3 linked regions of the Kluyveromyces lactis genome follow. The protein of the gene in region 3 interacts with the protein of the main gene of each other region in a pairwise test. Links are inferred from orthologs where the notes say so. Each region holds a gene or a part of one and is shown on either strand. Other genes may lie near its edges.

Region 1 (3,162 bases), on a different chromosome or scaffold from region 3:
ATTGAATAATAAATTAAGAAATGAGCTAGCAAGGGAAAGAATGACTGCGTCAAATGCTTGTTTGTCCATAATCGACTATACCTCAACCCATAAGGATTACGCTGTTCCAGAAGTATGGGGTTACCCAATGGTTGGTGAAAACCCATATAATAATACTATGAGGAAGAACAATTTTGCTAGATCTCACGAGGAAACGAGTGCCTGTTGTACCATAATGTGATGATAAAAATATTGCTGCCGTATACTCTCTATGCTTATTAGTTACATATATATTTAGATAAAACGAAATGCGAATGCAACAATATTAGATCTTATTCTTTCAATTGACACATACGGAGGGTAAACGATTCCCTCACTTCATCCCAATTGTTTCTCCTCTTTGTTCAACGTTACTTTGTTCATTTTCAAAGATGGATCGATATTACCGTTCTCGTCAGTGCATCCACAGTCGTAATCTTCTAAGATTGTGTTACAATCGTACCTTGGTTTTTCAAGATGATCGTTCACTAGATTATGAATATGACAGCCCCATAAAGCAGCAGTGGTTCTACTGGCTACTTGTGGTGGGTATTTCTTCAACATCTTGACGAAATGGTAAGAACATTCGCCACATGGATATAACTCCGCATATAGGTAAAGAAATTCACGTAGTTTCGTTTTCTCTTGCTCTGTAGGCTCGTCGGGAAATCTGGCTAAAAGAGTGTGGAAATATTTCCATGAAGCCCGCCCCAAAGCCTTTTTCGCCTCCTGATCAGGCATCTTCGGCATAATCGTACCTGATGCATCATCGTTCTTCGCGTTCGCACTTAGTCCTCCAAACAGATCGGATTTGGTACCACCCAACGATGGTGACCCCTCAATAGGTAGCTGGCTATTAGAAAATGTAAACCATAGCAAGCCTATCATTAGAAGCGTAGTTATTGTAACGATCCGCTGCTTATGCAGTCCTACCTTTAGCTTGATTGACATATCCGTTGTTCAATCTGATCAAGGAAAGTATGCTTTTAGAAATAATAGAGAATAGCAGAGGGATAACAACTCTGTAAGGTGTATGTACGGCTCCTCGGTAGATAACTTTGTTCCCATATTGTTACACTAAGGTGTCAATCACGTATTAATACATTCCTTACTACTTTTACGATCTTCCAATATTTTTCGACTGTAACCTTTTTTCTATTGATATTGAGATTTATAAGAATCAATATTCCAGCATGCAAGACATCTCTTAATTGAAGATTTGTGGTGGAAAGGAAACGTTGCAAAAAGGACTACGATCATTGTTTCAGCCCCTGATAAAACTTCAAACTAATTAATATTCCCACTGGATTACAAGCGTTGAACGTCATTTTGTTCTCACGCTAATAGCCAAGAAAATTTGCATAGGGATTAATTTCACTAGTTTTATTATACGACAGGAATCTGAGCGATCAGGGGAAATACACATGCCAAAATGAGTGATAAGAGTCAGCCTCAGAACAATGCCAGGAACAGAAGATCTCTTGGGAGCGGTATTCCTATGATACAGGTTAACCAGGCTCGTGAAATGTTTCAGGCTACGGTAAGGGCGCGTCACCCCGGCAATCCGCAGCAGCCAAGAGAAACCGAGATACAAAGTTCTATGATGCGCACGACCAATACTACTGTCGGTGGTACCACCACGAACTCAAGTTTCCAAGATACACAGTCGGTTACAGTAGCCACTAGCATGCCCAAACCGAGCTCCAAGCGCTCTCACGAACATGATCATAAGCACACTCATACACACCCACATAGATCGAATAATCCGAATAATCCAAATTGTGGCCATTGCGGTACAGTCATTGTTCCATCCCCTGTAGCCACAATACCAGCGAAAGATGACCCATCTGTAAGTGTAGGTGATTGGACTATCACCACGACGAAGAGGCCTATTCTTTCTAGTGATGAGATCGACGATTGGACTGAGAAATTGAAGTTCCCAATCCCAGAAATGATTTTTGGTCATTCCAGCGTTGAATTGAAGAACACCAAGACTCATTGGTGCATACGATTCAATCCGTTCCATGCACTTAGTCAAGTAAAACTTGGGGATTCTGGGTTAAGAGTGTCATATTCCGAGAAATGGATCAATTCCAAACTTAAGAATAGTCAAGTGACAAACACAGAGGAAGGATTACAATTCGGAAAACATTGGGATTGGTCCTATACGACTTTATACAATGGGACTGTGTCAGAAGATAGTGAATACAAGTTTGTTGTGGATAACCAGTATCAGCTTCCAATAGAAAAATTAACAAGAAGAGATCCCATTTTATTCTATGATGATTTCATTCTATTTGAAGATGAATTGGCAGACAACGGTATCAGTATGCTTTCGATAAAACTTAGGGTAATGGCAGAGAGACTTCTTTTATTATGCAGATTCTTCCTAAGAGTCGATGAGGTCTTGTTTAAAATCATTGATACAAGAATATATGTCGAATTCAATGAGGACCTTGTTGTACGGGAATGGAAATATATGGAGGATGATTACAAGACAGTATTGAATAAATGTAGATTAAATTCAAACGATCCTAAGAAATCTTTGAGAGACAGCAACTGGGTTGCGTCTGTATTACCTTTGAAGGAGCGCGTATGTGAAGTATTGAGGAAAAAAGAAGATATAGAAGAAGTTGTCGAATAAGCACTCACCGCTACTGTCGAATTGACAGCACTTTTGGAAAATTCAAGAAAGAGTTGATTTGCTCATTCATGAATCTACCTATTTAATTATGTTACCCAAAAGGAATAATATACAAATCTCGTAATACATGTGATAATATTATATACACACTATTCAAGTTTCTGAATCCAAAAGGTATCTGGATACGTTAGTGATTTCTCTGTTATCATTATTTTGCTGAAGTTCTTGCAATTTTCTTACAGCTAATTGAGTTAATTCAGGTTTTTTATTCAGTTTCTGAGATGTCTTCAATACAATACCCCAACCTTTCACGTAGGCTTCTGCCAACTCAACAGATCTCAACGCATTTGATAAACTTGATTGCAAAGCAGCTTCAGGGTCAGAATCTGATTGAGACTTCAAGTAATGCAAATAAGCTAATTGACCAAATGCTTCATAACTGAACGGCACCCCAATTATGACTTCTTCCATGCAATATATTGCTTGACGTAGGTCCCCAG
Region 2 (2,788 bases), on a different chromosome or scaffold from region 3:
CCATAGAATGGTTAATGCTTTCCATCAGTTGAACCAATGTTACGAACTCCTAGCCACATTACCCGACTCTATTGCGAAACAGAACAACAGGAGAAGATTGTTGAAGTTTTTAGTTCCATGTGGTATCATTATCAGCAAGTTGCCAGATTTCAACAAGTTATCTCAATGGGACCCTATCCTAGCACAGAAATACACAGCTCTTGTGATTGCCGTTAAAAACGGAAACTTGAACAGAGTAAACTTCTGGCTTTACGAGAACGAATCGTGGCTGAAATCATCTAAATTGTTGATTGTTCTATTGGAAAAGCTACCCATTATAACGTTCAGATCCCTTTTGCGATCTATTTTCCTATACTACTGTATACCGCGCAATTCAAATAAACTACCATACTCTGTGATAAGACCAATTCTAGCAAAATCCATCGGTTTATATCCACCTGAAATGCCATCGATATATAAAGACAATTACACCGCAGAATCACTTGAAAATATCCTTGTCACACTTTCAATTCAACAATTGTGGAAGGGAAATGTGTTTCCAAGCCTGCAAGTGTGCGTTACGATGAAGACTAACGATATCTCAGTAATCTTCCCTAATATCAATGAAAAGATCGTCTCTAGATTTTCGTTGAACCAGGAAGATTCCTGGCTCGATAAGTAAATGATAGATAATATACATATAGTATGTAAAAATAGATGACACAGCCCCTCCTAACCTGATTCGGGTCCCACTATCATACCCAGTCGTGAAACACTTTTGGAAGACTCAATTTTTACAGACATGTCTATATAGATATAAGAATGCTCTCACATATATCTGTTTGTCTTCCAGGTCACATTCTGCAAAAAAAAGTAAGAAATTGAAGAGAAGTTGAAATTTTGTTGAAGTTTCCATTATTTTTGTAAAAGGACTGATGATTACAACAGAAAACAAAGAGAGAAGGAAACATCCTTATAGCTAACTACTTTGTTAACAAGCTTTTAGCCATCAACAAAGAGTAGTGATATAGGGCTGTTCTTTGTTTGAGCTATTGAATTTTCCTATAGTGAGTGAGTGTTTCTTGTTGAAAAGAAAAGGTGCAAGAAATACTTCCAAACACAGGTTTTAAGCTTGTTGTGGTTTTTATTTACAAGAACGCTAATCATAATCACTTTACAAGAAATTCAGAAGGAATTTATCCCAATTTTTTCACAGGTAAGGACTGGGTTTTATTATAATTATTATTTTTTTTATTGACCTTTGAACTTTATCTTCCCTTGTAAAGGTTAATTTGCCATTGCATAAGTTCATCTATCTATAGAGCGTTTTGTCTCCGGAGTGCTAAAATATCACAATGTCAGATAATGGGCCAGATTTGTGGCTTGAGAAGATCAAGAAATGTCAGGCTTTGACGGAGTCTGAGATGAAACAGCTATGCGAGATGATGAAGGAACTCTTAATGGAAGAATCGAATATTCAGCCGGTTCAATCGCCGGTGACTGTTTGTGGTGATATTCACGGACAATTTCATGACCTTTTAGAACTATTCAGAACTGCTGGTGGGTTTCCTGATCAAGTAAACTATATTTTTCTTGGTGACTATGTAGATCGTGGTTATTACAGTTTGGAGACGTTCACACTTCTTATGTGTTTGAAAGTGAAATATCCTTCCAGAATTACTTTGGTTAGAGGAAATCATGAGTCGAGGCAAATTACACAAGTTTATGGGTTTTATGAGGAATGTTTAAATAAGTATGGTTCCACAACGGTTTGGAAGTATTGTTGTCAAGTGTTTGATTTCTTAACTTTGGCAGCTATTATTGACGGGAAAATTTTATGTGTGCATGGTGGTTTGTCTCCCGAGATTAGAATGCTTGATCAGATCAGAGTTCTATCGAGAGCCCAAGAAGTTCCTCATGAAGGTGGCTTCTCCGATTTGTTATGGAGTGACCCCGACAACGTGGAAGCATGGCAAGTCTCACCTCGTGGTGCCGGATGGTTGTTCGGTAGCAAAGTCTCACGAGAATTTAATCATGTGAATGGCCTAAGCCTAATCGCAAGAGCTCACCAGCTAGTTATGGAAGGATTCAAATACCATTTTCCGGAGAAGGATGTTGTAACGGTATGGTCTGCACCTAATTATTGTTATCGATGTGGTAATGTGGCGAGTGTCATGAAAGTCGAAGATGATTTAGATCCAACATTCAAAATTTTTTCCGCTGTACCTGACGATTACATCCAAGAAACAAACAATAATAACCAAAGAGGTGGATATTTCTTATAGAGCGACATTGCAGCGGCCTTTTTGTCTGTATAATCTTCTATGCGAACTTACATCGGACTAAACATTCTTTTTCTCCTTCTATTTGAGAATTCCTTCTTAATATACTGTACACTAGAAATCAAACATTTACCTAACTTTTACGAATTCAAAGATATCCATCAGGAATTAGGATTTAATTGGAAAGTGGACTATAAACAACGTAATTTTTAATGGGTTGAAATCATTACTGAGAAACCAACCCCCCTGAAACTTAAATAGTCTAAAACCCGGTAATATATATAGATATATGTATTAATGATAACGTTTAAACTGCCATTATGTCTTTCACGAGGCTTCACAGAGTCCTGATCTAATCCAAACTAGATCATCGAATATATTCAATTTGATATGGAATCATATATAGAATATCGTGTGTAGAATAGGTTTTTTTTTTTCTTACCAGTATCTCTTCAGCTCCAAAGCTGCATTGAAATATTTAAAATTTCAAGAGCATTTTATACAAAAAATGTAGCCATATGATTGCA
Region 3 (4,415 bases):
CCTGATCATTACCCATAACGATATCACCACCATTTAAATTACCGTCCTCAATATAATCACCTCCTCCTAAAATTTTTGAATACATAATTCTTGTATCATTGAGAATATCGTTTGAGTAGAAGTCCCAATCTTCATCCAATAAAACCTCATGTATATCCGGTGAGATTAAATCAACTTTGTACACTTTAGAGAATTTTACGATTTCCTCAGCAATTAATACTAGGTGACCCATGAAACCTAGGGTGGTATTGTGTTTCTCGTAAAATTTATGCGAGTTTCTATAACCTAGCAATACCAAATCCCGAGTTATTTGGAAATCAATCGGAGCATCATCTAAAGTTTTATCTGTAGCAAAACGTTCAGCATTTTTGTTGCTGAAAAGAGCATAGACTAAAAATGAATTGTATGAAAAATCCATCCTTCCATTGAAAATTTGCTGTATTATGTCGAATATAACGTTATGCCAGAAGTTATTCCATGGATATTTTATGAAAAGTTGAATAATGATAGGGAGTAGTTGAGAATTGTAAAGTTCAATCTTGAATAAATCACCAATAGTCGGATTGGACCGAAGTTTTGCATTCTGGTTATCATTAACATAAGGGACTTCGAAGGATTCGTCAATATCGTCATCAAGACTCAGTTCTGTAGGAGAATCAGAATTGTGATTATCAGCAGTTAATTTTGATTTGATATTGAGGTCTGTCAATGCGTCTTCTAACTGTTGAACTAGTTCCGTTCTTACCTGATCACGTTCTTTTACTATTCTTTCTGCTTTCTTAGAGTTCATTAATCCCATATTAGAACAATGTAATAATTCTGCAATAAGCTCAACGACTTTGAACCTTTCAAATCCAAGTGGTTTGTAACTTTCTCCCATTTGATTCTTTATTATAGGGATACTAGCATCATTTTCTATATCGAATAATATCTGCTTCAAATTGACAAGGTTTTCAGAAAATTTTCTCAACATGACTCCCAAATAAACTGGATCTCTCATTGAAGGAGGATGACTTTTGATAGTCGTAGTCAAAAGGTTTACTTGATCGTAATCAGAATTGTTTTTTCTTATCAGTTCAATAGTAATGGATACTGCAGTCATTAAAGCCGGTCCTCTTTCGTTGATAATACAACCTAGTAAATAATCAATGCATTTTTCAGATGCAATTTCTCTTGTCAAAGCATTGGGTCCGATGGACATTTCATCCAATGGGGCGTTAGCAGATACTGCTATTATTGATTTAATGAAATCTCCTGCACATGCTTGAATGTCTGCTGAATATTTTTCATTGACAAGAAATGCGAATAAATGGTCGATAAGTTTTTGTTCTGAGACTAGTTCAATAATCCCAGTGGGAGCCTCTTGTTTATCAGTAGCAACAATTTTGAGGAAAAAATCCATCAAGAGAGAGATATCAATATGTTTTAACATATCAATGACTAAGTTATCTCTTGTCCTGATAAAGTTTAAATACTGGTCTTGTCTTGTGAGAAGGAGATTTTGATTTATCTTCAAAAATATTGGAATAAGTGGCGATTTCTCTTGGGTGAATTTAGGATGGTATAAAATGGACCAAATTTTATTCAAATATTCAGTATTTTTCACGAGAGATTCGCTAATTAGCCAGATATCTAATGCAAATATTTCAGAAATAATATTGGCTTTGTTGAGAAACGTCGATTTTTTCTTCAGCTTGGAGTCTAACATAGGTATTATGGAGTCATCATGAGGTGAGGATGTAAATTCATGTGGATTTTCAAAACTACCTTTGCTGTTGCCAAATGTATCTATATCTTCATCTTCATTATCGTCGCCTTGATTGTGAGTTTCCCCCCTACCACTATCGTTACTGCCAATTGTAGCACTCTCTCTAATGTTTTGTACAGCGTTGTTATTGCCTTCATCATTTATACTGCCGTCTCTGTTTTCTATGCGATGTTCTTCATTGATATTGTCATCATCATCAAGCTCGTTAACATTATCATTTCCACCAACAGTATCCAAATTGGCGGAGTCGTTATCGTCGTCTATCTTATCAATGCAATCCAATAACCGGTCGATCAAGTATGCAATATTTTCTACCTTGTCACCAGTTTCCGTGTAAAAATATCCAAAACAAACAAAATCCAAAAGGGTATTGTTTTGTCTTGTTAGTTCGTTCAAAAGTTCTGTTTCTTCCAAGATCTCATCCATGAACTTATGACTTAAGGCTTGCAAGGGGATCGGTCCTTCTTCGTCACTTAGATGAGAAGCGGAACTGGACGAAGTTGTAGTAGTGGATAAGGAGTCGGGATGGGAAGAGGCAGCTGATTTTAGCGGCGTTGATTCAATATCACTGGTACCGTTGAATCGTCTAGGAGTAGGTATTAGAGAAGGTCGAGGATTATGCTGCGAGCTTCCTGGTGAAGTATCAATAGTATTCTTGGAACTATCGATGAAATCAGTAGTGTGAGAATCGACATTGTGCTCCAAACGATCAGAATCGTTTGAGTCTCCGATGATCACATCACTATCCTTATCCCGGTCTTCAAATCCCATTGCAAATCCTTGCCTCTTCTTTTTCTTTGCATTTTCCTTCTTCTCGTGATTGTCATTAATTCTTTTAGTATCATTATTATAGGTTGTCGTTGTTGTCTTGGTCTCATTAAGATCGTTATCGTCCGTAACTGCCACGGGAGCTGCTGCACCGGCAGTAGCTCCTAAAGTCCCAACAGTACTACTGTTGTTACTCTTGGATCCAGCTATCTTCTGAGTTTGGTTCTCCAATCCATGCATAACATGGAAATACTCCTCCAAAATTCCATTGATGTTGGAACTATTGAAGTTCTGTCCGAACGGCCAGAACGACATCACAGCTGCTTAGCTTTCTTTTAATGAGGAAAACACACGATATAAAACGCAAGCTGAGGTCCGCTAGCTTCAGATTATGGGGTTCAAAGGTTCGAGAAAGAGTATATGGGTTTGACGTCTTGCTTTACTCTCCTCTCCTGTTTTTTCCTAGCTTCCTTTATGCCAAAATGAGAATATTTCTTAATATTCAATTCTTAATTATTTAAGTTAGTAATTTCCAAAATGCCCAAAAAAAATCTAATACAAAACCGAATAAGAAAACGAACTGCTACAGTTTCATAGAGAATGGGTAGTTTTGGGCGCGGATCTACCAAAGGGTGGGCATCCACATTTAGCATAAAATAACGGGAATCCGTAGTTATTCGCAATAGTCCAACTATATTCTCATACTGTAATTGATATATACATCCTATATACATGCTACATACCTTGCTATATACACGATAAGCATTTGACATACAAATGATGTACAATATGGACATCTTTCTAAGGTAAGCCAATTTCCAAAGACGAATAAAAGGCACACGACACAACACTAATTAGGCACAAGTAGATTACTTGCTCTTGCAATGGATAGATCCGAATATATACGTATCAGCAGTTTGGACCGGGGCGACCCAGTAAACGAGCTTATTCTCTGTGGTGTGCTTGCCGTTCCCTTCTCATAGTGGTAGTCCTTGCTCGATTATAGGATCGTGAAGAATGATCTGTGAGAGGCTGTTTTCTCACTCCTTCTCCTCCTTCTTTACCCAAGAAAACAACCAAAATGCATGCGTTTCCCTAATTATAATGGATGTTCTTGTCACGTGACTTGGAATTGGTCGTTGATTTTGTTGTTTTTTTTTTTTTTCTCAATCTGTGTTCTTGTTTCTGTTTATCTTTTTTTACGTTTACATAATCGTCAAAATGACAACACATCCAACCCCATTCAGTAACATTTTGTATTTATAATATGGAAGACCAGCTATGGTTCGTAAAGTACTGATTACAGATCACTAATCCGTCAGGTTAGAAAGTAGTCGTAGCAAGGACACTGATCTATTAGCGTGTTAGTAGGCTGAGGTTCCATATGAGACTCGTTTCAAAGTTGCTCAAGGCGTTGCTGGTCTTGCTACTTGCCTTTGGGTCCGTTAGATACTCATGCGACAACTATACATCTGGAGAATTACAAATATGCAAATATACTGCTCCGCAGCATTACCGTGCCATAATAGGTGGTAGATTCCCACAAGTGATAAAGTACTCCGACTCGCTTGTGGCAAAGTACGAAACAGTGGTAGTTCCTCGTGTGGGATCAGCAGTTATCCATGTGAAGGATACTGTTGAGCAAAAAGTTGTCCCAAGTGTAATTAGAACTTCACGGTCTTCTCTGAGTTTGGTTTACACTAAGGTTTACCCACGGGTGGTTAAGTATGCCTTTATTGCTGAAAGCTCCCTTTGTCGTTGGTACCTACAATTGTGCCACCAGTATACTGTCTATGTGAAACCCGTTGTCATCAATTTGTATTACAAGACTATGATCAAGTACCCCTTCCTTGAACATGCAATTTATTCCGTACAGGCT

What was found.
Region 1: the proteins of KLLA0_A01155g (region 3) and TIP41 interact in binary tests that used the Saccharomyces cerevisiae proteins (3 or more experiments, as listed by UniProt). The link is inferred for Kluyveromyces lactis from reciprocal best matches to the Saccharomyces cerevisiae genes SAP155 and TIP41.
Region 2: the proteins of KLLA0_A01155g (region 3) and SIT4 interact in binary tests that used the Saccharomyces cerevisiae proteins (3 or more experiments, as listed by UniProt). The link is inferred for Kluyveromyces lactis from reciprocal best matches to the Saccharomyces cerevisiae genes SAP155 and SIT4.

The regions. Positions count from the first base shown.
Region 1 is NC_006041.1:554,927-558,088, reverse strand, and holds TIP41 (Tip41p), read left to right. Parts: upstream 1-1,450; coding exon 1,451-2,662; downstream 2,663-3,162. Other genes in the region: STE18 (Ste18p), read left to right, coding at 1-220; ERV2 (flavin-linked sulfhydryl oxidase), read right to left, coding at 358-969; EMC2 (Emc2p), read right to left, coding at 2,816-3,162. UniProt on the Saccharomyces cerevisiae protein: Involved in negative regulation of the TOR signaling pathway in response to type of available nitrogen source. Indirectly activates the PP2A phosphatase SIT4 via interaction with its suppressor TAP42.
Region 2 is NC_006040.1:313,719-316,506, reverse strand, and holds SIT4 (type 2A-related serine/threonine-protein phosphatase SIT4), read left to right. Parts: upstream 1-1,334; coding exon 1,335-2,264; downstream 2,265-2,788. Other genes in the region: THP1 (Thp1p), read left to right, coding at 1-661. UniProt on the Saccharomyces cerevisiae protein: Involved in the dephosphorylation of the large subunit of RNA polymerase II. Is required in late G1 for normal G1 cyclin expression, bud initiation and expression of certain genes that are periodically expressed during late G1.
Region 3 is NC_006037.1:104,818-109,232, forward strand, and holds the start of KLLA0_A01155g (SAPS family protein), read right to left. Parts: upstream 2,852-4,415; coding exon 1-2,851. Other genes in the region: KLLA0_A01177g (uncharacterized protein), read left to right, coding at 3,921-4,415. UniProt on the Saccharomyces cerevisiae protein: Positive regulator of protein phosphatase SIT4. Involved in directing expression of TOR-repressed genes and in dephosphorylation of NPR1 in response to nutrient starvation. Negatively modulates K(+) efflux of the cell by the Na(+)-K(+)/H(+) antiporter NHA1.